Linked DNA regions of Elephas maximus indicus. Each later gene encodes a partner of the first gene's protein in a complex. Links are inferred from orthologs where the notes say so. Each region holds a gene or a part of one and is shown in the gene's direction. Other genes may lie near its edges. The genes, in order: TNRC6C and GIGYF1.

What was found.
Region 2: the proteins of TNRC6C (region 1) and GIGYF1 are in contact, whole or in part, in a crystal structure (PDB 7RUQ), measured with the Homo sapiens proteins. The link is inferred for Elephas maximus indicus from reciprocal best matches to the Homo sapiens genes TNRC6C and GIGYF1. Residues at the interface, in NP_001136112.2 of Homo sapiens: Arg1719, Pro1720, Pro1721, Pro1722, Gly1723, Leu1724, Thr1725; in NP_001362694.1 of Homo sapiens: Tyr479, Asp481, Pro482, Gln487, Phe490, Trp498, Tyr503, Phe504, Leu508.

The regions. Positions count from the first base shown.
Region 1 is NC_064837.1:67,968,235-67,984,952, forward strand, and holds the start of TNRC6C (trinucleotide repeat-containing gene 6C protein), read left to right. Parts: upstream 1-9,821; 5' UTR 9,822-11,201; coding exon 11,202-11,342; intron 11,343-12,113; coding exon 12,114-12,135; intron 12,136-16,718. UniProt on the Homo sapiens protein: Plays a role in RNA-mediated gene silencing by micro-RNAs (miRNAs). Required for miRNA-dependent translational repression of complementary mRNAs by argonaute family proteins.
Region 2 is NC_064830.1:92,090,693-92,107,027, reverse strand, and holds the start of GIGYF1 (GRB10-interacting GYF protein 1), read left to right. Parts: upstream 1-8,823; 5' UTR 8,824-9,088; intron 9,089-9,119; exon of another isoform or gene 9,120-9,248; intron 9,249-13,122; 5' UTR 13,123-13,212; exon of another isoform or gene 13,213-14,148; 5' UTR 14,149-14,275; intron 14,276-14,375; 5' UTR 14,376-14,440; intron 14,441-14,579; 5' UTR 14,580-14,653; coding exon 14,654-14,688; intron 14,689-14,785; coding exon 14,786-14,915; intron 14,916-15,031; coding exon 15,032-15,127; intron 15,128-15,314; coding exon 15,315-15,426; intron 15,427-15,552; coding exon 15,553-15,661; intron 15,662-16,059; coding exon 16,060-16,100; intron 16,101-16,332; coding exon 16,333-16,335. UniProt on the Homo sapiens protein: May act cooperatively with GRB10 to regulate tyrosine kinase receptor signaling. May increase IGF1 receptor phosphorylation under IGF1 stimulation as well as phosphorylation of IRS1 and SHC1.

The DNA.
Region 1 (16,718 bases):
TTGTCTGGAACTTTCCCAGTACTTATCAATTTGGAAATCTCATCACTGATGCCAGTGCCACTCATGGAATTTTGAGCCACAATGCCTATTCCATTTACAACACTTGCTCATACTGAAATTACCTTGTTCATTTACTTTTTAAAAAAATTTGTGTACCCACTAGAACGTAAGCTCCTTGAGAATATGGATCTTATGGATCTTGTTCGCTGGGTATCCTTATACCTAAAACAGTGCGTGGCACCTTGTGGTCAGTTATTAATAAATAATTGATGCGTAAATAATGGATGGATGTGTGAATGAGTAGCTCATCCTTCTGAGCCTGACCTTTAAATGCTGGTGTTCCTCAAGGCTCTGTCCTCAACCCTCTTGTCTCTTTACTCTGTAAACCCCTCTCTACCTTATCTCACCCACGACCGTAGCTTTGACTTAATCTCTACGTGGGCATCTCCCAAGGTTTTCTTCCAGCCAGGTCATTCCTCTGAACTTCAGAGCTAGTTATTCTGCTCCCAGCTCCCTTCCCCACATTAGTGTCTCTCGAGCATATCATATTCAACATGTCCTTCCCCAGTGCTCACCTCAGGGAACTGGCCATCATACATGTAGTCACACTGGTGAGAGACAGTGGCTGTTCCTGACACCCATGTCCAATTAATCACCACCTCCTGTTCCTTTTGTCTCCTAAATAATTTCAGATCCTTGCACTGTCTGTCCCCAGATCCTTTACCACTCCCCAAAACTGAACTAGAATCAGCTCTCTGACTGCAGTCACCTACTCATTGACTTCTCTTATCCACTCTCTCTTACGATCCATTCTCCACAGAGTAGATGGAATGGTCTTGTAAAAACACAAATATGATATTTTCTTGCTCAAAATTTCCTGCTGTGTATTGCTAAAAAAAAAAAATTTTTTTTTTTTTTTTTTATTGCTCTGAGGATAAAGATTTTTAAAAAATTAGCCTTACTGTACCCTGGGAGACCTATCCTAGCCATTTCTTCCGCTGTTTGCTATGCTTTAGGCCCATTGGTCATCTTGCCATTTATTGAGCATGTCATATTTCTTTCGTTATAGAGCTTTCTCGTACCTGTTGTTCCCCCACCCTTTCGGCTAGCTGTCCTTCAGAGCATAGCTCAGGCCATAGAAATCTTCCATGATATCCTGAGAGGCCAGAGCCCTCCCCTGTGTGTGCTCTCATAGCACCTTGTACTTTTTTAGCACAATCGTAATGGATGTTTGGGGAAGTTAGTTGTCTCTCTCTCCCACAAAATTACGTTTTTTTTTTTTAAAAGCTCATGAAGTATAGGTATGACCTTGATGGGATATATTTATTTATGTCATCACCCTAAGAAGTAGCCTATTAGCAACTATAATAATTTGTCTTTCTGGTTTTTATCCAGTAATTTCATAGGGTAGATCAATTCAGATTGCTTCCTTAGAGGTATATTATGTTTCATTTGTTCTAAGAAAGACTTTTTCCTGTTTTTAACATCCCTGAACTTGGTATGCATCTTAGAGCCAGCGGCATATCGTGACGCCATTGGCATATCATGACGCCGTTGGCATATCGTGACACCATTGGCATATCATGACGTCGTTGGCAGCATTTTTTCCTTCTTAGTAGTGCATAAAATAATGGTGTATCTAATAATTGAAGGCATCTTAGATTAGATAAAATGTGGTATTTGTAACAGATTTGTTCTGGCAGGTTTACTGAGAACCTGCGGTGCTCAGTCATTCCGTGGAAGCATTAGTAAGATTTCTCTGTAGCCATTGCAGGAATCTTGATCTGCCTAACATCATTTTGATCTTACTCTACAGAGTTGACTTTTGGGTACTTAATTTATGTATCATTTGTTCAGGTAACACACACATTCAAATTGTGTCTGTATATGTATATCTTCCTTTTTTAGGAATATCATACCCATTTTTAGGAGTCCCTTGGTGTTAACATGCTTAATTGCTAACCGAAAGGTTGGTGGCTCTAGTTCATCCAGAGGCACCTTGGAAGAAAGGCTTGGGGATCTACTTCCGATAAGTCAGCCATTGAAAATCCTCTGGAGCGTTCTGACACACCTGGGATTGTCATGAATTGGAATCGACAACAACTGGTTCCTGATTATAACCACTTTTATCTCCAGGTAGAAGTGGGCGGGCCATCTGTAGGTTCCAGATACTGTTAACTATCCCCCTGAATACATTGTCCCACTCTTCCTTTTAGAAGAAGCTCCAGACGAGCACATCCAGAGCCTTCTCCCCCAGCCTTCCTCGTATCTAGATATGGACATGTGAATAAGTTGTGATTAATTGGATGTGAGTAGAAATGAAATGTGAACTTCCCGGGCATGAATCAAAAGAAATTATTTGCCCTCCAATTCTTATTTTCCCTCCTCTTTGTGGCTGGAAAGGTGGCCATGGTGCTGATGAGTCAGCTTTCACCAGGGAGGCAAAGATAAAGATAGTACCATAAGGGAAGAGGGGCAACAGTATGAAAAGAACCCAGGTCTCTAAATGACCTCATGGAATAGAGATGTCAGCCAGCCCCTGGATTGTGGGGGAGAAATATATCTTGAGGACATTGTATTTTGGAATCTCTTTTTTATAGCAGTGTCACCTGTACCTGTACTCTAACTAATGTATTATCCAAGAGGTTGTTTTTGTTAGGCTCTTCAGTGTCTTAAAAATGTGGCCATCCTTCCCACAGTTCGTTTTCAGTCTGAAGCTGTCACTCGGCCTGCATAGAGTGCATGCTCCTCTAGGATGCAGTGTGGTGCAAGATGCTTGGGTCTCAGTCACACCTCAACTTGGACAACAGCTCTGACACTTACTGTGTCACCTTGGGCTACTCACTGAGACCCTCTGTATTCAGATTCCTCTCCTTTAAGATGGGATGATGTCCATCTTAGGAAGGTTGTTTTGAGGCGTGGATGAGATCTATTTAAAAGGCCTTCTAGCTCTGTGCTTAGTAAATGACAGCTATTCTAGGTCTGGGGCTGGGTGGATGGTGGTATCATCTCTTTATTTTTGAGAGATATTGCTGTCATTAATTTTTCCAAAGAATGTGACCTCAGGCTCTCTGTCGCCCTAGTATTTCTTCAGTTGGAACTTAGTATTTATGGAGAGTTATTTGATTTTCTGTGTTTACCTTTGTGTGAATCAAGCAAAACTATCAGAAACCTTCATGTATGTCCTGTGTTGCCTTGGCTTCCTAGAGAATTGCTGACTTTTGGAGAATTCACTGGGTTTTCCCATCATGCTTTTGGTTGTTAGATCCTACTCTTGCCTATAGGAAGGAGTCCTGGTGGTACAGTGATGAAGCCCTTGGCTGCTAACCAAAAAGGTCAGTGGTTCAGAACCGCTGCTGCAAGAGAAGGATGTGACAGTCTACTTTCGTGAAGATTTCAGCCTTGGAAACCCTACGGGGCAGTTTTACTCCGTCCTATAAAAAGAGCTGCTGTGAGTTGGAATCAACTCACTGGCAGTGGGTTTGGTTTGGGTTTTTTGGTACCTTGCCTATGCTCTAGGAAACCCTGGTGGCATGGTGGTTAAGAGTTACGGCTGCTAACGAAAAGGTTGGCAATTTAAATCTACTAGGAAACTATGGGTAGCTTCTCTGTCCTATAGGGTTGCTATGAGCTGGACTTGAGGGCAGTGGGTTTGGTTTTTGGTTTTACCTGTGCTCCAGGACAGGGAGGGAGCTGTCCAGTGGTTTTTTCTGTGCTGCCTGGGTGAGGTACCACCTGCGAAACTTACTTTTGGACCTAAGTGGTAGGGAAACTCTCCCCTTACGGAACTGTTGTATGTTCTCATGGTTAATGAGGATTCGTAAAGGACAGAGAGAGGAATTGAATCATAAATAGTAACATAATGTGGTAAATTGCTAATTGTTTTTTACTGTGGGGCAAATTATAGGTTAGCTCTGCATACATGTGGTTCCACCGAAGTCTTTTGAAGAGGTAAACTCTAGACTTCTTGTTTTGCTTTGTTTTGTATTCTTTAGAAAATCCGAAAGCCAAAATGGCGGCAACTAGCAGTAAGATGACTTTGAGAGCAGTAGGAAACCTTTGCTTTTTAAAATCCATGTGCGGACACGGTATCAAGTACATAGTCCATACAGATTTACACTTTGGGCATTAGAGTTGATTTAAGACGGTAATCCCAAGGCAGTAGTTTAAGGCACAGAAACAACTATTTGTAACTAGTAAGTACTTGTTAGTACACGCAGTACGAGACTGAGCAGGTCCAATTTGGTCCGGTAAACTGTATGCTGTTTGTTGAATGAACGACTAAGATTAACCCTCATTACATAAGAGCGATGTGGCAGATAATAGAACACTCTTTCATAATTTGGTTGACTCCCTAGGATCTCTACCCAGACAATTTTGTTGGCATATGAACCTGGTTTGCTTGAAAATAAAATAGAAAATCAATCGAAATTTTTTCAACAATTGAATTTTTTCCAGTAATTCTCTTCATCATTTCTGAAATCTGAGTTTCTACATTTCACATTTTTAATGTGAAGTATCAATAATCCTTTTAGTTACCTGTTTTGTTTTTTTCCCCTGCACAATACAATTGGTCACATTTTTTTCTCCCCTGCTTTTAGTTTCACTATAGAAACTGTGTAGGTAGGCCTTTGAGATCTTTATCAGCTTATAACTTCAGCTCATACCCTCAGCCTGCTACTGTCCTCACATCCAAACCCTGGGCTTCAGAGAAGTTTCTCGATCGGGGGCTGGGTGGATGGCAGTATCAGCTCTTTTTATATTTGACTTTTCCCTCGTGCAGGTTGTCATACAGCTGTTTCTGCCCAGGTCTTACGTACTTGCTGTTTTCTGAAATCAGAATCCAGCTTTGAGCTCCTGAAACACAGTAGTCATCTTAGTTCACAGACCATCTCCAGGCCGGTTCTTGCATTGAACAGCTGCCCCTGGCCTCCGTTTCCTCACTGAAGTGACTGGGCTACAGTTGTGTGTGGCTGGGATTTGTGCTCCTTTTTTGTGATCGTGGTGTACAGCTGCTTCTCAGCTTGTCCAGGTGTGCTGCAGGTTTTGGAACATAGATATGTCATGGAGTTAGAAAATCCTGGACAAGTGATATTAGCCAAGTTCAGGCAAATAGAGTTACTCGTCTGTCTAGTTTGGTATTTCAGGTCTGTGAGTTGTTAATTAAATTTAACTTGCCATTTATTTTGATGTAATTTATTCATCGTTTGGGCAAATCTGTGAATTTTATTTATTTATTTATTGGTATACCCAGCTCCAGTATTTAAAAGTCTCTGGCTGATTGGCAGGGTGAAAAGGCTCTAATTTGAGGTTTCCTGTCAGTGCAGGTTCAGTCAGGAGGACACCATGCAGTAATGTGAACAGGGAACATTTACAGACTCAGAGCAACGAGGGATTGGCTGGCAAGAAGTAAAGAGAACCCTAAAGGATAGAGGAATAGCAGCTATAAGGAGTAGCCACTGCCTCCAGGGCTGAGTTGGAGCCCTCAAGGCCGAGCTCCAGACCTCACTGGAGAGGTCACGCTATGCTCACTGGACGCAGAGAACTCATCAATGCCGTGCTGGCAGAACTTGCCAGAAATCCACCTTCTCAGGTGAAAGCCGCTCACAGGAAAGGGTCTTGTTGGAGGCACTCTGCTACAATCCCCTCAGCAGAGGTTGACAGGGGAGGCTGCTGGCCACAGGTGCTGGAGAAGTCGCCACTGTTGCAGGAGCTGGGCACTGGGGAAGTCAAACCCGCGGCGGGAGCCTGGCAAGCACGCGCACTGGAACCTGGATGCAAAACTTTTTTTTCCAACTGTGTCTCTCTAGCACCCTCTACTGAAAATGCTTAACATCATGCCGATTGGCAGAGGAAGAAAACGTAAAGGTCCCAGATGCATTTTCACAGAGCAAACAAAAAGAGGAGGTTGGAGCTCGAGAGGCAATAAATAATAACCAGCACAGCTCCCCAACTCCAAACTCCTTTGTAGTTGGAGGTAGGCACTTTTGGGAAAGGCATTACGCTGATCATTGGCTACACACTACAAGCTTTTAAATTTCTAGCAAACAATGATATTTTTTAAAACGCGCATACATCCTGGTCATTCTTATTAACTGCTCCATAGCACACCAAGACCTGACAGCAAAGATTACTGTCTTTCAGACTAGTTAGGGATTTTCTTCTATTATGTTAAATATATTTAAAGTACGTTCAAGTGTCCTTAAGTAAGTTGACTAAGAAAATGGAGCTCCAATAAAAGGTAATAGCATTACTTTGTGACTTAATTCAAGGCTAATCTAAACTCAAATGAAATATAGAAAAGGTTTTTCACAAAACGGCACTTAAAACTCTTATACTTGTAATTTACATGTTAATGTAGTAAGTAATACTACAGTTTCTATAGTGGTGAAAATGTTTACTGAACCTAATTAGTTTTGAGACAAATTGTAATTAAATAATGCTGAATTCAGTCAGGTTTTCAAACTACTAAGTTAAGTTTAGGTTTCAATTTGCTAAGAGTGGGAATTTCAGATCACTTCCTTGTGCGCATGCGGAACCTGTCCATGGAGAGGGAGGAAGTTGTTCGGACAGAAAGGGGATACTGAATCATTCAGAATTGGAAAAGGTATACAACGGGTTGTATCCTTTCACCTTACTCAAGCTGCATGTTGACAAAATAATCCAAGAAACTGGGCTATACGAAGAACAAAGCATCAGGTTTGGAATAAGACTCATTACCAGCCTGCGATATGCAGATGACACAAACTTGCTTGCTGAAAATGAAGATGACGTTAAGTACTTAACTGATAAAGGTCAAAGATTACAGCCTTCAGTATGGATTACACCTGTACATGAAAAAAACAAAAATCCTCAAATTGGACTGATATACAACATCATAATAAACGGAGAAGAAATTGAAGTTGTCAGTGGTTTCATTCTACTTGGATCAGCAATCAATATCCATGGACGCATCAGTCCAGAAACCAAATGGACATACTGCATTGGGCAAATCTGCTGCAAAAGTTTTAAAAAGCAAAAATGTCACTTTGATGACTAAGATGCGTCTGACCCAAGCCATGGTCTTTTCAGTCACCTCATTTACGTGCAAAAGTTGCATAACGAAAACAAGAATTGATGCCTTTGAACTGCGCTGTTGGCAAAGAATGTTGAATATACTGTAAACTACCAGAAGAACAAACAAATCTTAGAAGAAATACAACCAGAATGCTCCTTAGAAGCAAGGGTGACGAGATTTCAACTTGACTACTTTGGACACGTCATCAGGAAAGACCAGTTGCTGAAAAAGGACGTCATGTTTGTGGTAAAGTAGAGGGCTAACAAAAATGAGGGAAACCCTCAATGAGATGGATTGACACAATAGCTGTAAAAATGGACTAAAATATACCAACGATCATGAAGGTGATGCAAGACCAGGCAACATTTAGTTCCGTTATTCATAAGGTTGACATAAGTAAGAGCTGATTGGACAGCAACTAACAACAATAGGTTTAAATAAATAAATTTGTTAGAAACCATTTGTGTGTCAGGATTCTTTGGTTATAAGCAGCAGAAAGAACTGCCATGTAACTTTTAGGAAGATGTGAGGTAACTGACAGAACTGAAGGAAAAACAGAAGGGCCGAGCTAAGAAAGGGCAGGGGCCCACTGTGGCCTGGAGAATCTAGGTAACTGGCCCCAGTGGACAGGTTCTTAAGGGTATGGTCAGTGAGATGAATCTGATCTAGCTGTTGGCCACTCCATTCAGTTTGCAAATCCCAAGGAGTGTCTTGATTGGCCTGGCGTGACTCTCCTGCTGTCAGCATTACTGGGGAGCAACCTAAAGGTATGAGGCTGCAGACCTGGAGGACCTCTGTCGCCAAGACTTCGTGTTTTTTTCCGTTTCTCAGCTTCACTTCCTTGGTGTTGGCCTCATTTCCAGGGCCTGTGGGTTTGAGAGATGCTGCAGCACCTTTCAGCCCTGAGGTTCTGTTAAGTCCAGACCCAGCAAAAGTGTCATCCCTGAGCCACTGCCCCTGAACGTCCACAGATTGAGAGTGAGTGTGGGAGTGGGACTCCAGGTGAAATGAGGGAACAGTTACCAACAGGAGGACTAAAGGAAGCTGGGGGTAAATCTGCTTCAGAAGACCTCTTTAAAGTCAAGCAAGATGTCACTTTGAGGACTAAGGTGCACCTGACCCAAGCCATGATAGTTTCGGTCATCATATATGCATGCGAAAGCTGAACAATGAATAAGGAAGACCGAAGAAGAATTGATGCCTTTGAATTATGTGTTGCTGAAGAATATTGAACATACCACGGACTGCCAAAAGAACAAACAAGTCTCTTGGAAGAAATACATACAGCCAGAGTGCTCCTTGGAAATGAGGATGGCGAGACTTCGTCTCACATACATTGGACATGTTATCAGGAGGGACCAGTCCCTGGGGAAGGATAACATGCTTGATAAATAGAGAGGGTCAGCAAAAAAGAGGAAGATCTTTACAAGATAAATTGACATGGTGGCTACAACAATAGGTTCAAGCATAGCAAGGATTGCGGGGATGGTTCAGGATCGGGCAGTGTTTTGTTCTTCTGTACATAGGGTCAGTATGAATTAGAACTGACTCAACAGCACCTAACAACAACATCAACACTTAAGCCTGAACAGAGACAACCAATGATTAGCAAACAGTTGCGGAAAACTTCCCACATCAAAGAGAGTCTAAGAGAAGAAGAGTCCACGGAAGAAACAGGTAACGTAGGAAACAAAAAAGCTTCAGAAAAACCCTAATATCCTCAGATAGAACAGAGATGATTTCGCATCCATAATACGAAAACAAAATGTGGAGAAGGAGCAATTAGAAAGCAAGAACGTCATTAAGAAGCACAGTGCAAAGATTAGAAGACCAAGTAGAGCCAAGCACACAGAAAATAGAATAACAGAAAGGCATGGAGTAGAAAATAGAAAAGTTATAGAGAATCAAACCAGGAGGCTCAGTATGTTGTTATTTAGAAAACAGAAAACATTTTCAAGAAAATAGCTGAAATTATATTTTTATGTTGAAAGAGTCAACCAAATGCAAAGCACAAATAATGAGGGGTGGGGGGGGAGACACCAAGGTACATCATCATGAAATTTCAGAACCCAGGGGATAAAGAGATGCTATAAGCTTCCATAGAAAAAATATATCACCTAAAACGGATTGAGAATCAAAAAAATCAGACATGCTAGAACAGTGGAATTCTCTGCTTAGCCAAGCCACCATTCAAACAAAAAGGCAGCCTAAAACTGTTTTCAAACATATATGGTCTCCAAAAATCAACCTCTCACACGTTCTTTCTTGAGAAGATACTTGACGATGTTTTCCAGCACATCGAGGGAGTAATTTAGGAAGGTGTAAGACAAGGGAAGTCACAGGATGGCTGAATTAATAAAGTCAAATCAGTGTTAATAGATGATGATGTTTTGCTGAGGCATTTGTACGTTTTGTTCCTTCTGCTTAGTCTGTTAATTCCTCCTTTCTGCTCTATCAGTCTGGGTCCAGTCAGAAAACAGAAATCACACAGTGGTACAGACAGAAGTTTATATTAAAGAATCATTAAGCTATGATACAAGAAAACTGGCAGAGCACTCCCAGCCCAGACAGAGCAGGACTGAAGGCCCTGGAAGGTAGATTTGGGGGGGGGGGGGGATTCATGTTTTAAATTTTGGAGGGAAGCATACAAAAACAGGATTTTTGTAAGGAAAATACTGTAAGAGGAAAAGAAACACAATTGGGAACTCAAAAAAAAAAAAAAAGAAAAGAAAAAAACAGCTGCACAAAAGGTAAAGTGTAATCCCAGTATATATTCTAACTCTGCAGCAAATATTTAGATATTCTTTGTAAGTAAATGCTGTTTATTGATTTAACTAAAAGTAGTAATGGATGGTAAAATGGGGGTGCTCTAAGAGCCATATCCACATCCGTCATTACACTAATTGTTAATGTCTCAAATTGGTGAGCCGAGAGCCTAGCCATCCACATACGTTATTTAGAGCTGGGAAGGAACATAGCTTCCCTGTATACGTGGGGTATATAATTAAGTGAAAAAAGAGTAACACAGAAGAGTGAATAGTCTGTTTGCATTTGTTATTTAAAAAAAAAAAGGATGAGTACATGTATAGTCGTATGTAGAGATACCCTAAAGATATCCAAGAAACTGCTAACATTTTGTTAACCTCTAAGCAGAGGGCCGTGGGGGTGTTGGAACAGCAGTCTTACGTTTCATTATGTATCTTTTTGTACTGTTTATGGCTTTCCCCCCCCATGAGCACTTATTACTTTATAAAATAAAAATGCGATTAAATGTTGATTTAAAAAAATTATTAATGATATAACAGAAATTGCACACTGGGGGTTAGAGGTAGAAGAGATTACTGCTAGCTAGGGGGAGATTAGATAAAGCTTTATTAAGAGCACATATCTGAACTACTCTTTCTCACGTAGACATGGGCGTGGGCGGGAAAGCGTAAGCAATTTCGTGGGCTTTAAATTTACCATATTGTGTACTTAAAGCAGTTTTAGGTTTACAGAAAAATTGTGGAGAAAGTACACAGTTCCATGTATGACCTTCCCACTGCACACACTCTCCTGTTACTAACGTCTTTCATCCATGTGCTATGTTTGTTGCAGTTGGTGAACCATATTGATATGTTACTATTAACTAAAGTCCTTGGTTTACATCATGCTTCACTCTGTGTGTTATATAGCCCTGTGTGTTTTAACAAATGCATGATGTTGTGTGTCCACCATTACAGTATCATGCAGAGTAGCCTCACTGCCCTAAAGATGCCCTGCGCTCCACCCCTCCCTCCGCTGGGACTCTACATTTTAAACAGGTACCCAGATGATTCTGATGATTGTGGTCCCTGAGACAACACTTTGAAAAATAATATTCTGGGGCTGAACTGTGGGAACTGCATCTTACTCCATTCTATTCTGTACCTTCCTCTCCGAACACAATGCCTGATAGTAGGTTGGTGCTCAACAAATATGGGCTGAATGAATGAGCCACTGAAGAAGTCAGGGCAACTTGCTGTTATTCTCAAAGGGTGCCTGTGATGGGGGTGAATGTCTGTGTCTTAACACCTGTCCTTCAAGGGTCCTTCCTTACACCATATGCGACTCAGCTGCCTTAAAACTTCCTGCTGCTAATGCTTCTCTCAATTTTCGATTTAAAATGGACATCGTACTAATACCACTTTTCTTTATATTCGACAGGGAGAAAGAACAAAAAACACAAGAAGAGGAACGTTTGATGGAAGAAAAGAAAAAGAAAAAGCAGGAAGAAAAGAAAAAGAAGGAAGGTGCTCAGAAAAAGGTTTGGCTAGAGTTACTCCTGATCTTCCTTGTTTTGAGAATCATTGTGTCTCATCTCTATGATCATAGCCATTGCATTACTAAGTTTCATTCTGCTTTTTAAATCAAGATACTAAATCTGTAATTAGTGGAGAATAGCTAATGTGCTAGTGAGATAAACGTAGGACGACCGCCACAAATTGCCTTCCTTCAGGGCCGAGAGGTACCGGAGCTGCTGCGTGTAAAGGTTGATGGAAGTGGCGAATGTCCACACTGTCCCGCTTGAAGCGAGCTGCCCGGGGTTGGGGGGGAAAGGGCTGTCTGGCTGATGTTGTCAGAAAAGCTCAGAATAACTGCTGCAACTTCAGCAAGCGTTCTTCTACAAAATTCTATTAGTAGATCCTAAAAATTAAAAGTCCCACTGTAAACCTTTGTAGACATGCTTGGATTTCATGGTATTTAAAATACAAAGTAAGGCCATTTGTTTTTGCTCTTGCCTAGTTTCATACGTTTTATAGTTGAAGCTGCATACCTCCCAGGCCGTATCACAATAGAGCTCAAAGGAGCTTTCCAGGGTGGGTTTTTTTTTGCCTTTAGATTGTTGTTGGCATGTAATCAATAGCATGTAGGCAATTGTATGTTTTTCCCCAATAATAAATGATAAAATTAACTGGACAAAATCGTGATTTTAAAATTCTAGTATTAGAAGTCCACTTACATACTTTCATAGATGGGTCCATCCTACAGGTTATTATTCCTAAAGAGTTTCTGATTTTTTTTTTTTTCCCCCCAGGCTGCTGATCAAAAAACCAAAGGTAAGTTTATTTATATTTGTGGGGGGCTACATTTTAGGACAGATCAAACTGTTTATGATGAAGATGACTAAGTTTTTAATTGATGGTTAAAAAACAGAATCTAACTTAGATTTTGTGCTGACTTTTTATTATTCGTTGTGAAATTCTTCATTTATCACTGGTTTTACATCTGCATTTCATTGGCATTTGCCTACTCTAAAAAACTGCCTAAAGGATGTTAATGTAAGTTTTATTAGCAATGCGTTACAGTTTTCCTTCGGTTTGATTTCTGCTAAACAAGGATTACGCTGATACAGGCGATCCGACCAAAGGGCACTGGATGTCTTTAAAGTCTCCGGTTCCTCATTGCCAGCTTTTCCTTATGGTAAAAAGGGACATGTTCTTTCTCTGTTCCTCCTTTGTCTATTGATATGTAAAACTTTCTCTTTTCTTAAATTCTCCAAGTCCAGAGTTTGCTGCTGTCTTATGGGTATTGGCGGAAGCACACAGTTCTTACTGTGATTTCCTGGCGATTCAGAATGAGCACAGTGGGAGCGACACTGGGAGCATCTTCATTGCAGACTTGACATGTTTAGGTGCTTTCTAGTGGTGAGGAGCACACACTCCGGAGTCATAAACCAGCTCTGGTTAACTTTGCGCAAACCACTTCCCGTCTTTAAGCCTCAGGCATCTCATACTTAAACTGAGACACCCTGCCTCCGAAAGCTGCTGTGAAGACGAGCGAGATGATGCTCGGACAGGGCTCAGCTCAGGGCCCAGCACACAGTCGGTGCTCAGCAAAGGCTAACTGTATTCACAGCTGTTATTTTTAAGTTTTGTTTTATATTGGAATGTCACATGTACACAGTTGTACCCGCCGGCATGAACTATAGAGATCCTCGTGACCAAGGGTTCACTCAGGCAGTGCCACTGTGGAGATTCTGTTTTTGTTTGACATTTTATAGTTTTCCAAGTAAAGTGTATGTATATTACGTCATCTGAATGTCATACTTCAGCAGGACAGGTATTAGTTTACAGATGAAAACACTGAGGCTCGTAGTACGCGTTGAGTGGCTTGTCTTGGTCTGGCATCAGTGGTAAAGATGGAAGCTGAGGGGTACCAGGGCTTCTGCCCCCAGTGCACTTGGCTTTAGTGCCTCTGCACTAAACTGCCTGTAACCTGCCGCCCTGGAGTCCGTTCTGACTCGTGCTGACCCCATCCCTTACAGGGTAGACTGCTCCATAGGGTTCTCCTATCTGTGATTGTTACGGCAGTAGGTTGCCAGGACTTTCTGCCGTGGCACCACAGCCTCGTGGTGAACTGCCAGCCTTTTGGTTGGTAGTCAAGCACAAAACCTTTGCACCGCCCAGGGATTGCCTCTGTACTGGAGTCACATTAAAAGATGGATTTAATATAAAGTAAATATGACAAGATGGATTTAATATAAAGTAAATATGAAAGGACAGCACAGGAAAAGGAACTTTTTCTCTCTTATACTCAGGAACACTGTGAATTTACATGACGCTCATTTTTAGAAGGGCCCAAAGGGCTTGTGGTGCATAGTTGTATTTGAATTTATGATCTTGAGTAAGGAGCAGTGATTTCTCATTTAAATTGCCGTTTAAAAGTACAGAATTGCCAAAATGTTCTGCATCATCCATTTCCTTTTTTAACGTTTTGTGAACTTTTTACAACCAGATTCAATATCAGCTATCTTCTGTTGTCATTGTTTTCTGCACGAACAGTAGCAAATTGCTCACTGTACAGTGATGGTGAAGTGTACCGCGCTGCTGCTACAGAGTTACTGTTTCCTATCACTGTCCCAGTGAGATCTTCCTCGCCAACTCCAGACTCTACTGGGTTTTTATTGTTTCTAAAATATTCTTCCTCTGGGTACAGTTTGTCAGTAACTGTACTAACTAGCCTTAGAACAGGTCAGAATTATAAATGTCCTTGTAAACAAACAAAAAGCTTTCTGAATTCTAAATAACGCACCATCTGTTGGTAGGTGCTGTCGAGTCGGCTCCGACCCAGAGTGACCCTGTGCGCAACAGAACGGGACACTGCCACCTCCTACGCCGTCCTCACAGTCCTTGTTACACTTGAGCCCATTGTTGCAGCCACTGTGTCAGTCCATCTCATTGAGGGTCTTCCTCTTTTTCGCTGACCTTCTACTTTATCAAGTGTGATGTTCTCTAGGGACTGATCCCTCCTGACAACACATCCAAAGTATGTAAGATGCAGTCTCGCCATCCTTGCTTCTAAGGAGCGTTCTGGCTGTACATCTCCCAGGACAGATCTGTTCGTCCTTTTGGCAGCCCGTGGTATGTATAGTCAGTATTCTTCGCCAGCACCGCAATTCAAAGGCATCAATTCTTAGGTCTTCCTTATTCATTGTCCAGCCTTGACATGAATATGATGCAATTGAAAACACCATGGCTTGGGTCAGGCGCATCTTAGTCCGCAAGATGACATCTTTGTTTTTCAACACTTTAAAGAGGTCCTTTGCAGCAGATTTGCCCAGTGCAATACGTCTTTTGATTTCTTGACTGCTGCTTCCATGCGTGTTGATTGCAAATCCAAGTAAAATGAAATCCTTCACAATGTCAACCTTTTTTCCGTTTATCATGATGTGGCTTATTGGTCCAGTTGTAAGGATTTTTGTTTTCTTTATGTTGAGGCGCAGTCCATACTGAAGGCTGTAGTCTTTGATCTTCATCAGTAAGTGCTTCACGTCCTCTTCACTTTCAGCAAGCAAGGTTGTGTCATCTGCGTAACGAAAGTTGTTAATGAGCCTTCCTCCAATCCTGATGCCCCGTTCTTCTTCATATAGTCCAGCTTCTTAGATTATTTGCCCAGCATACAGATCGAATAGGTATGGTGAAAGAATACAACCCTGATACACACCTTTCCTGACTTTAAACCACTCAGTACACCCTTTAATAACTGCCTCTTGATCTATGTACATAGATAGTTGTACATAGATCTGTGTACATAGGTACATGTACATGATACATAGATCAGTCCAACGGTGCTGCTACGTAACTCATTAATGAACACCACCAGTGGAAACCCTGGTGGCGTAGTGGTTAAGAGTCTGGGTGCTAACCAAAAGGTTGGCAGTTTGAATCCACCAGGCGCTCCTTGGAAACCATATGGGGCATTTCTCCTCTGTTCTGTAGGGTCACTACAAGTCAAAATCGACTCGACAGCAACAAGAAAAAGAAAATGGGAGCAGCATCAAGGTTTAAATTTTTCTGCAACTCTCTGTTATTACTGGTTCAGATCAAAATTAGCTGCCTGTGAGATGGTGGTTCTGAATTTCTGACTGAACTTGAATGAGATAATATAGAATGACAGGATTATATTGTAGGAATAGCGTCCTAGGCTGGGTGCTCCAGAGAAGCAAAACCAGTGAAGCACGTGTATATATATACAGAGAGAGATTTACCTTAAAGAAATGGCTCATGCAGTTGTAGAGGCTGGCAAGTCCCAGATCCGTGGGTCAGGCATCAGGCTAGAGGCTTCTCCTGATTCACGTAGCTGTAGGGGCTGACGAACCCAAGATGGGCAGGTCAGACGACAGGCCACTGGCTCATGGGCTACGGAGGCTGAGGAATCCAAGATCAGCAGATGGCAGGCTGCTGCCTCACAGGCTATAGAGGCCTAGAAATCCCAAGATTGGCAGGCAGTACAGCAGGCCACTGGCTCAAGTCCCAAGAACCGAAGGTCAGATAATGATGAGCCAGAGACAGGATCCAGAGGCTAGCAAGCAAGCTTTATTAGAACATCGAAATATATATTGGATTCAGGCCATGCCCCCAAGGAAACTCCCCTTACAACTGGTTGGCTCATTGCATCAAATCACATCATGGAGGACGATTGCATCATTGTATAACTGCCAAAGTACCTCGTTACATAACTGCCAAACCACTGAGAATCATGGCCCAGCCAAGTTGACACACGACCTTAACCATCACAAATAGTATGACTGTTGGTGCTCTAACCCCTGCTCTAGCTTGTAAGCCAGTGAGGCAGGGCCAGAGTGGCCTGGCTCATACCTCCATCCCCAGGCCCTAGCCCCCTGCCCAAAGTCAGGAGGCCTCAGAGCAGCATTCTCACTCATCGACAGCTTTTGTGCCAGGCCCTGTACTAGGCCCTCAAATTTATTATTTGTAGATGTTGCCACTGTATACTGTTGATGGTGTTCTCTCCAGTGTACAGAGGAGTAAACTGAAGCTGTGAAAGTTTGCCAAGTGCCCCAGGCTGCATAGCTAGTGAATCGCAGGGCTGTGCCCGGGATCTGTACTCCCAGCAGACGTTTATCAAGCATCTACTATTTCACACACCTCCTGTACTTCCAAACAACCCTGTAAGAGAGGAGATGAATGCTCAGAGAGAGAAATAACAGCCCAGGTCACAGAGCTAGGACATGGCAGAGGTTGGTCACATCTGACTCCAGCGTCCGATCTCCAGACCCAGACTCAGTTGCCTGGCCAACTGTGATGACCAGCCCTTGGCAGTCACCAGGAATGGAGAGCGGTACTGTCACCATGAGGCAGCACCTCAAAGGTCAGAAAGAGCTGAGCAGTGTGAGCGAGCC
Region 2 (16,335 bases), on another chromosome or scaffold:
TAGCAAAGAACTGAACCTCGACCCTATACAAAAATTAACAAAAAAGTGGTAGTATATCTAAATATAAAACTTAAAAGTATAAAATTTGCAGGAAAAAGCATAGGGGAAAAAAATCTTCATGACCTAGGCTCAGGCTAAGAGTTCTTAGACATGATACCAAAAGTTTTTTTTTTTTTCTTTTTCATAGAAGCAAAAAGTTGGTAAGTTGTACTTTATCAAAACTAAATCATATGCTCTGTGAAAGACCACATTAACAGGATGAAGAGACAAACCACAGACTAGAAGAAAACACTCACAAATCACGTATCTGACAAAGGACTTGTACCCAGAATATATAAAGAACTTTCTAAACCCAAGAGTAAGAAAACAAACAATCCACCAGAGATGTGAAAGACTTATACAATGAAAATTATAAAACACTGCTGAAAGAGGTTAAAGAAGATTTAAACAAACGGGAAGTTGTTCCATGTTCATGGATTGGAAGACTTAATATTATTAAGATGTCAATACTACCTGTGATGGTTACTCTTATGTGCCAACTTGGCTAGGCTATTATTTTCAGTGGTTTGGCAGATACTGTGTACTGTAATCACTTTCCACTCTGTGATCTGATGTGAGCAGCCGATCAGTTGAAAGGGGAGTTTACCTGGGGGTGTGGCCTGCCTCCACTATATAAATGGACTTCTGGTAAAACTGTCTGTCTCTCAATCCTGCACTCTTCTCATTGCCTGACCTCCGGTTCTTGGGATGTAAGCCTTAAGAAGTCTCTGGCCTCCTAGCCAAAGCAGTAAGACAAGAAAAACAAATAAAAGGTATCCAGATTGGAAAAGAAGAAGTAAAATTATCTCTGTTTGCAAATGATATGATCCTATATATAGAAAATCCCTATGAGTCCGCAAGAAAACTTCTAGAGCTAACAGAGGAATTTAGCAGAATTGCACGGTACAAGGTCAACAAACATAAATCAGTGGGGTTTCCATCCACCAGCAATGAGAAATCTGAAAGGTAAATTAGGGAAACAATTCCATTTACAATAACATTTAAGAGAATAACTAGAAATAAATTTAATCAGGGATGTGAATGATTTATACAAAGAGAAGTATAAAACACTGCTGAAAGAGGTTAAAGAAGACTTAAATAAATGGAAAGATGTTCCATGTTCACGGATTGCAAGACTTAATATTTTCAGATGTCAATACTACCCAAAGTGATCTATGCGTTCAACATAATCCCGATCAAAATTCCAACAGCCTTCTTTACAGAAATGGAAAACCAACCCTGAACTTTATGTGGAATAGCAAGAGGCCCCAAATAGTGAAAGCAATGTTGCAAGAGATGAACAAAGTATGAGGACTCACACTTCCTGATTTTAAAACTTTTCTATACAGCTACAGTAATCAAAAAAGTCTGGTACTGGTATAATGATAGGCACGTAGACAAATGGAATAGAATTGAGAGTCTAGAAATAAACTCACACATTTATGGTCAACTGATTTTTAACGAGGGTGCTAAGTCCATTCAATGGGAGAAAGAAGAGTCTCTTTAATAAATGGCACTGGGAAAATTGGATTTCCACACGCAGAAAAATGAAACAGGATATGTTTCACACCATATGCAAAAAGAAATTCAAAATGGAATAAACTAAATGTACAAACTAAAACCATAAAATTCTCAGAAGAAAATGTAGGGGTGATGCTGTTGGGCCTAGCTTTTAACAACGGACTATCTAATAGCAAAAGCACAAACAGCAAAAGACAAAATAAATAAATGGAATCTCATACAAATGAAAAACTTTTGTTCATCAAAAGGCTTTACCAAAAATATGAAGAGACAAGCTACCGACTGGGAGAATATCTACGGAAACTTTATATCTGATCTAGAAGCTAGTATCTCAAATATATACAAAACTTCAACAACTTAGCAACAAAAAGACAACCCAATCATAAAATGGGGAAGGGACTTGAATAGACATTTCATCAAAGAGGACGTTCAAATGATCACCAAACACATGAAAAGATGCTCAATGTCGTTAGCCATCAGAGAGATGCAAATCAAAACCACAATGAGATTATCACTTCATTTCTACTAGGACCTCTTAAGATTAAATAAATAAATAAAAGATGTTGGCCAGGATGTGGGGAAATTGGAACCCTTATCCATTGCTGGCAGGAATCCAAACTGGTACAGCCTCTGTGGAAAAGTGTGGCAGTTCCACAAAAAACTAAAAATAGAACTAGCATATAGCCCAGGAATTCCACTCCTAGGTATATACCTGAAAGACTTGAAAGCAGAGACTCAAAGAGATAGTTGTACACCAATGTTTATTGCAGCACTATTCACAATAGCCAAAAGGTGGAAACAACCTAAATGCCCATCAACAGGTGAACCGATAAACAAAATATGTTAATACCTACAGTGGAATACTACTCAGCCAGTAGGAGAAATGCAGTCTTGATACATGCTACAATACGGATGGAGCTTGAAGACATTAGGCTGAGTGAAATAAGTCAGTCACAAAAGGACAAATATTGTATGGCCCCACTTATATAAAAGGATAAGAACAGGCAACTGTATAGAGACCCAAGTTTATTAGTGATTACCAGGGGTAGAGGGAGAGGAAAAGGGGGGCTATTGCTTGTGGAGTACTGAGTTTCAGTTTATGGTGATGGAAAAATTGCATTGATTAGGGGTATTGTAAGTGCTGTCAATAAGTTGTACACCTGGAAATAGTCGAATTGGTAAAAGTTGTGTGACATATATTTACAACAACAACAACAAAAAAGTAGCTGTCGAGGCTGCTTATGTACAACCAAATACCTCGTGGGATTTGGTTCCTTGGTTTGGAGGTCATGGTTTCGTGGGACATCCCAGAATTGGGTCTAATAGTGTGTTTAGTGCTTCTGTTCTACCTCCTAGTTCATCGCATAGTTCCCAAGTCTTAAAACCTTGCAAGTGGCCATCTAATGTACAACAATTGGTCTGTATTCATCTGGAGTAACACAGGAGGGAAAGTCAGGAGTAGGAAAAGGAAATGGAATGTATGGCTAATTGCCTCCATGAACAGCTGCCTCCTTTGCCACGAAACCAGAAGAACTGGATGGTGCCAAGCTACCATTACTGAATATTTCGATGAAAGATTCCATAAAAGAATCCTGATCAAAAGGGGGAAATGCTGCACAGAGTTTCAATGTTTTTATGGACTCTAGACTTCCTGGAGCCACGGAGGCTGGATGAACCCCTGAAACAATTGCTCTAAGATAATCTTTAAATCTTAAACCAAAAATATCCCCTGAAATCTTCTTAAAATCAGACAATAGTTTAACTTACCTAGTAAAGAATGTCTGCCTTGAGCACTGCGCTCTCTCAAGATTTATCTACATGGGATCAAACTGACAACAGCAACTTGAAAGGTTAGATAGGAAACTTAGGGGACAGTGAGTTTATTAATGGGAGAGGAACAACTCAGAAAAGGAGAGTGAGAACGGTTGTACAACCCAAAGAATATAATCAATGTCACTGAACTGTACATGTAGAAACTGTTGAATTAACGTGTGTGTATATTCTCAAGAAAATAAATAAAATTTTTGAAAAGATTGATTTAGCTATTTAGGGTCCCTTGCCCTTCCATACAAATTTGAGGATGGGCTTTTCCATTTCTGCATGGAAAGCTGTTGGAATTTTGATGGGGACTGCAGTGAATTTATAGATTGCTTTGCATAGTATTGACATCCTAACTATAGCAAGCCTTCAAACCCACAAACATGGAATGTCCTTCCATTTATTTAGGTCTTCTTTGATTTCATTTAGAAATGTTTTACAGTTTTCTGTGCACATGTCTTTCTCCTTCCTAGTTAAAATTATTCCTAGGTATTTTATTAGTGGAAACCCTGGTGGCGTAGTGGTTAAGTGCTACAGCTGCTAACCAAAGGGTCAGCAGTTCGAATCTGCCAGGCACTCCTTGGAAACTCTATGGGGCAGTTCTACTCTGTCCTATAGTGCTGCTATGAGTCGGAATCAACTCGACAGCACCGTGTTTGGTTTTTTTTTTTTTTTTTTGCCTATTGTAAATAGTAATGTTTCCTTGATTTTCTTTTCTACTTGTTCATTGCTTGTGTATTAAAAACCCAACTGCTTTTTGTGTGTGGTCTGTCTTATTAACAATACACCTAACATTTGCAGACCAGTTTACCCCTAATAGTGTGCTTTATTGAGGCATTCTCTCTTCCTGTCCTCACATCAACTCCACCAAGTGGCTATTATCCAAATATAAAGAAAGTTCCACGTTGTTTGGGGTTATGAAATTGTCAGGCGTACTTTTAACTTTAAAGCACTGTGACAAGTGCTTTATGATACAAACCACCCCAGACAGAGAGGTTAACCAACTTGCCCAAGGCCACAGTCAGTACAGGATGGAAGCAGCGCGGGAGTCCTCACTCTGAGCCGCTGCATTTTCTAGCCTGTGAGCAAGCAGCTTGCCTGACCACATAGAAGGAGCAGTGGATAATAGAAAGCTGCTGTTCCAAATCCCCGAAATATTGCCACCCTTGTTACGTAGGCCGATCAGAAAACTTAATTCATGGCCAAAAGTAATTCTGAATGTAATACATTAATGTTAAGGCCCACTGTGTCTGAAATAATTTACTACAAGCACAGTTTAGGGACATGGCAAATTGAGTTCCTTTACGCGGCCTTTTGCTTTGGTTCTTTGGGAAAAACCAGCTTGGGAGATTTTCCCCCTTAAACTCTTTTTCCTAATTTTTCGGAGAAGCAATGTGGGCGGGGGCTCCCAGGTTATTTTCTACCCCAAACGGTGTATTACTTTTGCCCAAGGGATCTTCTAGGTTAATTGACATTTCCTGGGTAAACTGTAAAAGCAACTTGATGGTTTGATACTTCCCCCTGATAACTAACAAGACCTGAGTTGATTGACATTGCAGGGGTTGACTGAGGATTGGTTGAACTGGTCTGATGAGGGAGGCCTCGCCTTGTAACTGACAAGGATCAGGATATATAAATGGCTGAACTGCAGAAGTTTTGAGAGGCCTCCTGGAAGAGAGAGGGAGATACTGGCTAAGAGCTGCCCAACAGAGAAGCAGAGCCACGTGGGAACTGAGTGATCTTGAAGCTGCTACACTGGCTGGGGTAGTTAGCAGCAAAGAGGCCTACTTCTGAACAGTTGCTACGCGGGCGGTTAACTGGCCCAATTAGCAGCAAAGAGGCTGAAGGCGGATAGCCTGAAAGCAGAGCACCCAACAGCAGAGAGGTCCAACAGCAGAAAGTTGCTGCTAGCAGAGCAGCAGCTAAGAAAGCTGACTAGGCTGTTACACTGGCTATGAGCTGGGCCAGTTAGCCATGGAAGAGCCGATGGCAGAGAGGTCTGACGGTACAGAGCTGCTACTAGCAGAGCAGCAGCTGAGAAAGCTGAGCAGGCTGCTATACTGGCTATGAGCTGGGCCAGTTAGTGGCAGGGAGCCTGACAATGGAGGGGCCTGCAAGGCAGAGAAGACAGCCACCTGGCAGAGAAGCCACACCCAACTGATCACTGGAGGCCTGTGTGTTTCCTGACACGGATCCTGCGTTCTTGCAACTTCCAAGCTGATACGGTCCTGAGTTATATAACCTGTTAACTTTCCTAATAAACCGCATAACTGTGAGTATGGTCTGTGAGTTCTGTGAGGCCACTGCAATAAATTATCAAGTCCTGCAGAGAAGTAGAGTGTCACGGGGGGAGTGGCTGGTGTCAGAAATTATGGAGAAAGTGGGGAGGCAGAGTTATAGCTGAACCTCCGCCCCACTGGAACCAGTTTTGTGCTGATCCTGTTTCTTACTCCTCAGGAATTTAGACAACTTATGAGGCTTTGCTTTAATCAGGAGCCCTGGTAGCGTGGTGGTTAATAAATCAGCTGGTAACCAAAAGGTCAACAGTTTGAATCCACCAGCCACTCCTCGGAAACCTTGTGGAGCAGTTCTACTCTGTCCTATAGGGCTGCTATGAGTCGGAATCGACTTGACGCAACAGGTTTTTTTTTGTCACTTTAATGAACTATCACCACATTGCTCAGGCTGTGTGTCTTTTCATGGTATTTGACACATGTTTTACAAGTGTTGATATCCAGCTAAATATAAACATTGGCAATTTAGGTGGGTGAAGTCAGTCTCTGTAATAAACTGATTTAACAACAAGAGAGTCCTTATCTCTTTACATTTCATTGAAGGAAAACACCACAGATGAACCTGGCATTATAAAAAAGGCAGAGATTGGCTGTTAGTCTTGAGACCTCCCTTTTATCTCAATTAATCATCTTAACTAAATCTTTGTTAAGTTCAAACGTTTGCAAATTGAAAACAACCCAGATCAAGACATTCTACAGCATAGCACCTGAATAAACAAAAGTATTTTAGGTCCAAGTGACTGTTTTCATAATACCGGATGGGAGATTCACAGTTCAGATTTAATTGTTTCCTTCCTCAAAGAGGCAGCCTATACATTCAGTGTCATCAGAAACAGCCCTCCCACTTTAGAGTCGGGGAGATTAAATGACTTGCAAAATGATACACAGGGGATCCTGCGCAATCGCCCCAACCTTCTACCCTGGAATCCAGTGTGCTGTCCTTATTATGCTACATCCACAGTGGTTTCTACTCTCAAACGCAGACTTTCACAGCAGCATTCCAGCCCCTCAACTTAAGTTTCACTTCATTTCTTGTTCAACTAGCGGTTCAGGATCCTCTTCTCTCATCAGCCCGGACTGTCACTCTTCACAAACCTACACACACTTTTCCTACCAGTTGCCATTGAGTAGAACTGCGCTCCATAGGGTTTTTATGGCAGTGACCTTATAGAAGCAGATGGCCAGGCCTTACCTCCAAGGGGTATCTAGGTGGGTTCGAACCACCAACCTTTTGGCTAGTAGCTGAGTGCTTAATCATTTGCACTACCCAGGAACTTCTGCACTTTTCCTAAATCTATCCAAATCCTGCCCTTCCCACCAGATCAGCTCAAACAGCCAGTGTCCTGGCTGCTTCCACCCCACAGAGACCCACCCTCTTTTTCCCTGTATAATCTCTTTACCATAGTTTACAATCTCGTTTGCTTATTAAATTGAGAGATTAGGCTGCTGGTAACTTCAACCACCTAGAACATAACTCCAATCCAGAAAAGTAAACCACCAACAAAAGCTTTTAAGTAGAAAAAACAGTGGCCATACACTTATTTTATTCTAGCAGTTCTCTGACTCAAGCTGCGTTCTGCTGATACACATTTTCATAGTGTTAACTGTCCTGAATATTGCGTTTCACAAATCACATTAAACCAGAAGCCCCTATTAGCTAACATTTGTGGAGTGTTTGGCTTGACGAGTACCATGCTAAATGCTTTAGGATACAAACCACAAAAGACAGGTTAACCAACTTGCCCAAGGTCACAGTCAGTAAGGGATGGAGTCCTTATTCTTAACCACTGCATTTTCCAGCCAGTAAGCAAGCAGCTTACAAGACAAGCAAGACAACACAGAAGCAGGAAAGCCAACAAAACTTAAAAAACAGACACTGCCTGGACTCTCTGTTGACCCCAAACTAAAACCATTCCTGGAGCCAAATCTTCAGACAGAGATGACTGTACTGTAAGACATAAAATGATACTCCCGAAGACTGTGCTTCTTAGTTCAAGTAGATAAAAGTAGATACGTGAGACTAAATTGGCAGTTCCTGTGTAGAGGTGAGATGAAAAGGCAGAAAGGGACAGGAGCTGGTTGAATGGACACGGGAAATACAGGATGGAAAGGAGTGTGCTGACATAGGGATAGCAACTAGGGTCACATACCAATGTGTGTATAAATTTTTGTATGAGAAACCAACTTGAGCTATAAACTTCCACTTAAAGCATGCTTAAAAAAAAAAAAAAAAGACTAAAACTACAGTGCACAGAAGCAAGAGGGTGCTTACTGAAGGAACAAAGGGCCTTCGAGATCACTCCTGAAGTCCACATTCTGTTAAGGTACCACACAAGGGACTCAAGTTCCAAGTCATGAACTTACTTTCCCGTCATGAAAAGGATTACATTGTGTTTGGTAACAGCTGTTTTAGAAAGTGGGAAAGTAAAGTCTACATTCTGGAATGACTTCCAAAGAAAACGACGAACACACACGCAAAACTTTTTCATCCTAAAAATTTCAGCGATTCGGAGGAGTCATTCTTGAAAACCTCTTTTTTAAACAAACGAAGTTTCAGCCTAACGTCTCACATTTACATAGTAGTTTGTCTCTTTCCAAAGCTTTCACATTCACCTATTTAAATTCTTACAGCAATCAATGAAGGGAACGCGGGGGTGGGTGGTGGGAACAGCATTAACACCCCTCTGTAAAAAAGACGGCACTATTTTTTTTTTTTTTTTTAAATAAAAAAGAAGCTGGGGCTCGAAACCTTCAACTCATTCGCCCGAGATCTAGAAGCTGAACCAGAAACTCCAGGTCTCACAAGCCACTGCCGCCTGGGACTGTTTCTAAGTGATGAGGTTCTTCGCTTATTTCACATATCCCAAGATGCATAATGCACATTTCTCGATTTTGTCTCTTTCAATCCAGGCGGGCTTCCTGAAGGAAGCCGACTGGTCAGGAATTGGCGAAGATGCCACTAGCCCTGGTCTCAGTCCCGAGGGTCCCGCGTCACGTGCCGGGGGTACCCCCGGGAGCTCAGGGAGAACCCCGGGGGCATCCCCCCGCCCCGCCAGCAGCAGGCCTCACGTCACGTGACGAGCCAGGCTCCCGGGTCACGTGCCGGGGCGTTCGGCGGGGCGGGCGTCAGTGCCGCGCCCCTCTGGACACGCGGGGAGCGCGCGAGGCCGTGCGGGGTCCGAGCCCGCGGGAGCCGCGGAGGGCGGTGGCGGCGACGGCGGAGGGGGCGGCCCCGCGTCCCCGCGTCCGCGTCACGTGGTGCGAGGCGGGCAGCCATCTTGCTACAAACACAAACAGAGAGGAGCGGCCGCCGCGGGAGCGCCAGCGCCCCCTCCCCCGCCGCCGCTGCCCGCCCGCCGCCCGCCCTCCGCGCGCCGCCAACGCCCTGGGACCGAACCTCGCGCCACCCGCCCGCGGTAAGCGCTCGGCGGCTTCGTGGACCCCGGCCCGCAGCCGGGCCTGGGGCAGGCCCGCCCCCGACGCCGAGGCGGCCGCGCGGAGCCTGCGAGAGCCAGAGCGCGGGCCGCCGGCCGGACCCTCCCCCGTCTCCTCCCCGAGGTCGCCGTCGCCTGCCCGGTGCGTCCGCCCTCTCGGCCCCTCCCCGACGCCCGCCGGCGGACCCTCCCCCGAAGCGGGCCGTGCCCCCGCGCGCCCTCAGAGCCCAGGGCCCTCCTGGCGCCGCTCGCCCTTCACCCCGCGCCCCGCGCACCTGGCGCCCCCTCCCTGAAGGGCACGTTGTCCTCCCCGGCCCGGCCCGCCTCCTCCCCACCCCCGCGCTCCTAACGGTCGCCCCTTCGGGCCCTTCCCAAATTCTGCCCGGGGCGGAGAGCCGATCTCCCCCGGGGGCCTCATCCCACCCGCTCGCATCCTCCGCCGGGCCCGCCGAGGGGGTCCCCGACCCTAATGGTCAGCTCTTCACAGAGCCCGTGCTGTGTGACTGGCGCTTCCTGGAGATTTTCCCCAACACGCCTCGGTGTTCTTGTGGGAATCAGCTGGGCCTTGCGGGGCTTAAAGTCCAAGCGTTCATGACTTTGGAAGCCTTTTCCCGTAATCAGACATCTCGACTGGTTCTTCACTAAAATTTCCTTTCAGCAAGCGACGTTAGTGCTTGGTCATTGGGGTCTCCTTCCTCCCAGTTGCTTGTCAGTATTAAACATCTTCTTTAACAGAGACTCTTTAATCCTTCACCAAGCTAGGCCCTCACACGCACCTCCTCAGCCCATCTCCCCTGATGCGGCAGCTCCTTGGCCACAGCCCCTCAGGTTTTGCATTTTTTCAGGTAACTGCAGAGAGACCCTTATCTTTATCACTTTTTACCCAGTCATTACCAGAATTCCCAGTAAGCTTCCACGTTTCTTCCATCGAAGTGCTTGGCACTGATAGATGCTAAATGCATACTTGGCTGGCTCTTGCCTCTGCCCACCCCAGTTTTACTCCTCTCTTGTTTCTCAAAGTCCTGTTTTCCCAAAGTTCGTGGGCTTCCCCCCAGCCTCTCCCACAGCCCCTCCAGGCTAACACGCCAGTTTCAATTTACCCGCTGCCCCTTTGCCTTGGGAAGTGAAACCATCAGTACTAATAGGCCAGTCCTGGTCTGCTTCTCCCAATATGAGTTGTCTTTGATTCTTTCCCATTTCTACTCTTCCCTTTGCAATCCCAGGCCACCCACTCTCCACCCTAGCTCGTTTTATTTCCTAGATTGTTTGGGTCTGTGTCCCCATTGTCATGTAACTGGGAAAGGTTTGGGGGCAAATCCGCCCTCTCCTCGGGGGGCAGGGGCCTGTAAGGTCTCCTATGGTGACTGAAGTCTAGAGAGTTGAGTGCTTAGACTTCTGGACTAGCTTTTTCAGCTAGTGGGTGCATTAGTGTTGTGTGTGATGCGATGGATAAAGGACCCAGTTTGGCCTGACTTTTACATCTGTGGTTGGAGTTTGGGGTAGAAAAAGTAGCCATATTTAAGAGGAGAGAAGGTGAGAAGAGGCTGCGTGAGGGTTTAAAAAAAAAAAAAAAAAGTCTGACAAAATAAAAATGGTTTTAAACACACAAAGTATGCCTGAGCGTTTGGGACAGTTAACTGTTGCTGGGCGATCCATCTCCAGTCTGGGATGGTGCTGAGGGAGGTTGGGAAACCCTGTTGAGCAGCTGCAGCTTACTTTCTTATTTTCCCTGGCTGGAGCCCCAGACTGAAAAAGGAAAAGTGTGAAAGCACTCTAAAAACCGATAAATAGTATACAAATGCCAGGTGGCATTATTATTTACCATGAGGGCTTAGAGCGTAGAGAGCTGGGGCCAGCCAGAAAGAACACAGGCTTGTACGCCCCTTTTAAGCCTCACCGTTCTCACCCAGTGGAGAATCTTTCCATCCTGAGAAAGGGCCGAGTCACCTTCGCAGACTTGGGGCTGGGCGACTGCTCCAGATGCTGGGAATTTGGAATTCTCCTGTTAATCGTGGTACCATGCTGTGCCAAGGGCCACTGCTCTGGATTGGGCCAATTTTAGAGGCGATGGGGTGTGGAAATAACGGTCTTTACTTAGTGGGTATCGGGACCACTTGTTTTTGGGTCTTTTCCTTCTCTTGAGTTCTGAACTCTGCCAGGCTTCCTTCTGTCCCCTCCAGCCTGTGTGAGGACCAGTGTATGTCCTCTCTGCTAATCTCCAGCAGGGGGCAGCCTTTTAATGGCAGTAATTCCCATGCTAGAGCAGTGAGCAGATGCTCTTGGGTATTGTTGGTAGGTGCTGTCAAGTCAGTTTTGACTCATAGTGACCCCATATGATGGCAGAACTGCCCCATAGGGTTTTCTGGGCTGTAATCTTTACAGGAGCAGGTCACCAGGTCTTTCTCCACCAGAGCAGCTGAATTGGTTTGACCCACCCAAGTTTGGTTAGCAGCAGAGCACCTAACTTTTGTACCACCTGAGTGTGTATTGAGGCCCAAGAAAGAGAAGAAATGGAAGGATAGGGAATGGGCAGATGTCGTATGTGGTAGGCATACTGAGGCAGTACAGAGAGGTAGTGGATAAGCTGGAAGGGGCCATGTGAGAAAAGCCAGGAAAATGTAAGGCAGAAAAGAATGCGGTCCCTAGTTTTCTGCTGTCTGTCTCTCCAGCTCTGGCCTTCATAGGAAGGGGATCCAAATGCTTTGTTTGAGAGTTTGTGATAGAGAAACTTTTTCCCCCTTTAAGCTATTTTCTCAAGGCTTTCTCTCCTGGGACAGTATCATAAGGGAAGGATTTTCCCACTGTTCACAGGAGAGAATGAACTGAGTAAATGTGGTTTTTGTCCTTTACCCTTCCTCATAAACACAGAACGGGCATTACCTGTGTTCACACGGAAGAGGAGGGTTTCTTAACAGTGGCACACTTGACTTTTGGGGCCAGATAATTCTTCGTGGTGGGGGTTGTCCTGTACATTGTTCAACAGCATCCTTGGCCTCTACCCACTAGCAGCCAGTAGCAACCTTTTTCCCAGTTGTGGTGATGAAAAATGTCCATCAAATACCCCCTGGGGAGCAGAGCTGCACCTTGTTTTGCGGGGGGGGGGGTGCCATCTGTGCTGCTTGACAGTGGTTCATTTGGTCTGAGGAAGGATCAGGCAGCCATCCAGCTTCTGGGACCCCAAACCCCTCTCTGGCAGGTCCTAAAGACTTGAACTTTGACTCCTAGCTTCTCCCCAAGAAGGTGGGATGGCTTTGGCCTTTTCCTGCCCAGGGGCTCTTTGTCTCCCCTGACTGCCTCCCTTGCCTCTGCAGTTTTCCTGCTTCTCACGCTTGTTTAAGCCACTTTTCCTCTGCTTGTTGCTTACACCAGGACAGAAGGTGAAGGCAAGAAGCAGAAAGCACTGAGGAAAGCTGCTGTTGCCACACCCTGGGAGGGGGGGGGGTTCCCATTTTTCTGTTTCCCTCTCGCTGCCCCTAGCCGGTCCATGTCTATAGGATGAGGTTTCGTCCCTTTGGAAGACAGGGGCTCTTCTAGAGCAAACTGGCTAGTGAGGAGTCTCAAACTACCTCTCTTGAGGTTTGTTACGAAGAACATGGGGTGTTTTTTTTGGAGTGGGGAAGACTTAGGCACACAGTAGGTTCCCCCTGAATATCTTAAGGGTTGTGGAGTAGAGAAAGAGTTAGCTTTACTCCGTTTTTCTGGGAGACCTCCTTTACCTCACTGGAAGGAAGAACTTTTCGACAGGCTTGGCCTCTCTGGTGGCCTTGTGAGGTGTGGCACGCGCCACATGTGCCATCACCAGAAACGTCCAACAGAGGCTGTCTGTGGAAGAGATGCCGCTGCTGAGGGGAGGCCCGCCTCGCTCTAGCTCATCTCCGAAAGCTGCTTTTCACCCCCAAGTGCTGCAGTTCTGTGTTTGTCACGCAGTTTTACTTCGTCTTCCTACTGTCGGCCATAGATAAGACAGCCTCTTTCCTTCGAAACCTTTGATGAAACCCTTTTCTCCTTCTTCCCAGGATTAGCGAGTCTTGGAGTTGATGGATACAGTGGTGGAGATCTGCTCCAGCCTCCCTCCCAGCCAGTGACGGAAGCTCTTGCCTAGCTCTGTGAGACACCACCTTCACCTCTGCTCAGGCGCCAACGGGGATGAGCCTCCTCCCATGAGTCTCCTCTGTTGTTCTTTAGAGGGACAGAGCGCTGTTGCTGCCTCTTTTGATATCGGCCTCTTCTGATATCAGCGATAAAGTAACTGATTTTATTTCTACTTTGTGATGGGAGAAGCCGTTCCCCAGCTTTTCTCATAATAACGTGGTTCACTTCTTGGATATTTTCTTCTACTTGTCATCGGCTTGTCCTGGGGCAGGGGGCTCAGGTGTTTATTCCTGTTTGGTGTACCTGCCCCTGGATGTGTCGGCCCAGGCTTCCCTGCCTGGAGCCTGAAGTGTGTGCCCCATCCTTGGTCCTGGGATAGTCTTCCCCATCTCCCTTTTAGTGGGTGTCTCCCCAGGCCGAGTACCTGCGCTCTAGCCACCAAATAGCCAACCCTGATTTTTTTCATATGGGAAGTAGTTTTGTCCTTAGATTTATTTCTCATTTTCCTCTCCGTAATTAACCTTTTCTGGGGTGGTTTTCCCTTTGAATGGTCCTTTACTTGTTTTTATCTCAGTTCTGAGTGTCTATATGTACTTTAGCCACTTTCCTTAGCGAATGCTGTACCATACTTTCTATCTCAGCCTTCAAGGAGAATGCTGATGACCTAGAGACTATGCTTGGTGGGTTCTCTGGCATACCTCTGGCATTTGGCTTCTTGCACGTCCGCCAGGGACCCTCAGTGTTGGCTGAATGAACTAACTGCTCACGAGGCAGAATGAAGGGGGACAGAGATGAGAAGGACCGGGGGCTGTGGTCTTCTGTGCTGGGTATCAAGCAGCCTTCAGGCAGCCTGTGGGCTTCTCCACTTATACAGGACAGGAGGGCCAGAGGTAGGGAGTCCCATCTGACCCATTAATGTAACCCACCTCTTCCCTTTGTTTCTGCTTAAGGACCTTTACCAGTTGTGAAGGTCCCTCCCCAGTCACTGCTGAGGTCAAACTAGTATCCAGTAGCTTGGGAACCCTAGTTCACTCAGCACAGGCCCCGCCTTACTTGCTTCTGGGGCAAGGCTGCCAGGTAAGTCTGAGGCAGAGGGTGGGAGAGATTGGTACCTGCATGGAAGCCCCTGCAGAGGCTGGAAGGAGCTTGAACTTCCCTGTTTTCTCCCTTTCCCCAGGTCTTTCCCCCGTATTGACTCATTTCTGATTAACTCATGGTGTGAGTTGCCACTTGCTGGCTCAGGTGAGTCCTTTAGAGCCCAGGTGGCCCACCCCCCAAGCCTGTCGCCTGTCCCTGCCAAGGTGCCGTACCTATTTCTGACCTTCTAGAGGTTCTCTGGGCTGCTCTTCTCTAAGGTCCTGCGTCCCCTATACCTCCACAGCTATTGGAGAGTGAACGCCAGGTTCTCTCTCTGCTTATTCCCTCCGACCTCGAGGAAACACGCCCAGCTCCGCAATGGCAGCAGAGACCCTCAACTTTGGGCCTGAGTGGTGAGTCACATGTGCTCTGGGTGGCATGGAGAAGCAGGATGAAGAATACGGCTACTGTGACAGCACTCCTTCTGCTTTTTCTCTGTACCTTTCCTAGGCTGAGGGCCCTTTCCAGCGGGGGCAGTGTGGCATCCCCACCCCCATCCCCTGCCATGCCCAAATACAAGCTTGCTGACTATCGTTATGGGCGAGAGGAGATGCTGGCCCTCTACATTAAGGAGAACAAGGTGGGTGTGTGGGTGGATGGGCACAGGAGGTATATGACCAAGTGGCTTGTTTAGCCTTAGCCATGGAGAGGGCCTAGGAGCACATGGTTTTTCAGCACTCCTGCCCTAAATGACAGGTCCCTGATGAGCTACAGGACAAGGAGTTTGCTGCGGTGTTACAGGAGGAGCCACTGCAGCCCCTGGCATTGGAGCCTCTGACTGAGGAGGAGCAGGTGGGGCCAGGCGGGGGACCGAGGCAGCCGGGTCCTGGGAAGGCGGCAGGCTGCAGTCGAGGTTGGGTTTGGGGAGGAGCTGGGACTGACGTTGGGAAGATAGATGGTGGAGCTTGAGGTTCTGCACGAGGGCTGGGGAGTGGTTCGGTGCCTGGGTCCTCACTCCCACCCCTGGCTCCCTCCTCAGAGAAACTTCTCCCTGTCAGTGAACAGTGTGGCTGTGCTAAGGCTGATGGGGAAAGGGGCTGGCCCCCCCCCAGGTGGCACCTCCCGTGGCAGGGGCAGCACAAGAAGCCGAGGTAGAGGGGGTTATTAAGTGTTGTAGGGGGTGGGCAGAGGTGGTGCCTGTGGTTTTGAGGTGTGGCACAGTTATCTGGTGGTTTCCCATCACCTAGTCTTCTGTACTGATCTCATGCCTTCTTCAGGCCGTGGCCGCGGTGACAGCTGCTTTTACCAAAGAAGCATTGAAGAAGGCGATGGGGCCTTTGGACGGAATCCCCGGGAGATCCAGCGTAGCCAGAGCTGGGATGACAGGTATGGGCTGAAGGAGATGTGGCATAGAGGCAGAGCGGAGAGAAACTCAAGGGTTTAGGTCCTGGAGTCCCATGGAGGGAGGCTTGGGTTTTTGTCATGAGAGGGGAACAGTGGACTTAACCAAGGAAAGTCCTTGTCAGCGATCTGTGTGCCCTCTGAGCCCTTGTGGTTTCATTCTCCCCCTTTACTTTATGATTCTCTTAGGACTCATTTGTCTCTGTGATCTTCTCTTCTGTGCCCCAGTGGGTTCCTTTCCCATAAGCTTGACTTTTCCCTAGTTTCTGCTGCCCCTCCCATCTTCCACCTTTCTCGGGCACAATGGACAAGGTGCGCAGAGATCCACAGTTTGAGGCGGGGGTGGGCAGCAGTGCTTTGACCAATGCCTTTACCTCCTGCAGGGGCGAGAGACGGTTTGAGAAGTCAGCAAGGAGGGATGGAGGTATGGAGGGAGGTGAGGGTGGTGTGCAGGGCCTCAAGGTCATTGTGAGGAGGGGACAGGACTGAAATGGATGATCCCAGTTAGGGAAATGTTTCTTGAGGGGGGTGGGGCAGGAGAGCCTGGAGCTGTGCTCTTCATTCACCAGCAAGGTTTGCTAGATAGTGGGAGTCTTTTGGGTATCGTTCCTTCCATCCTGCTAATAGTACTGTTTTTCCCCTACCCCCCACTCCAGCAC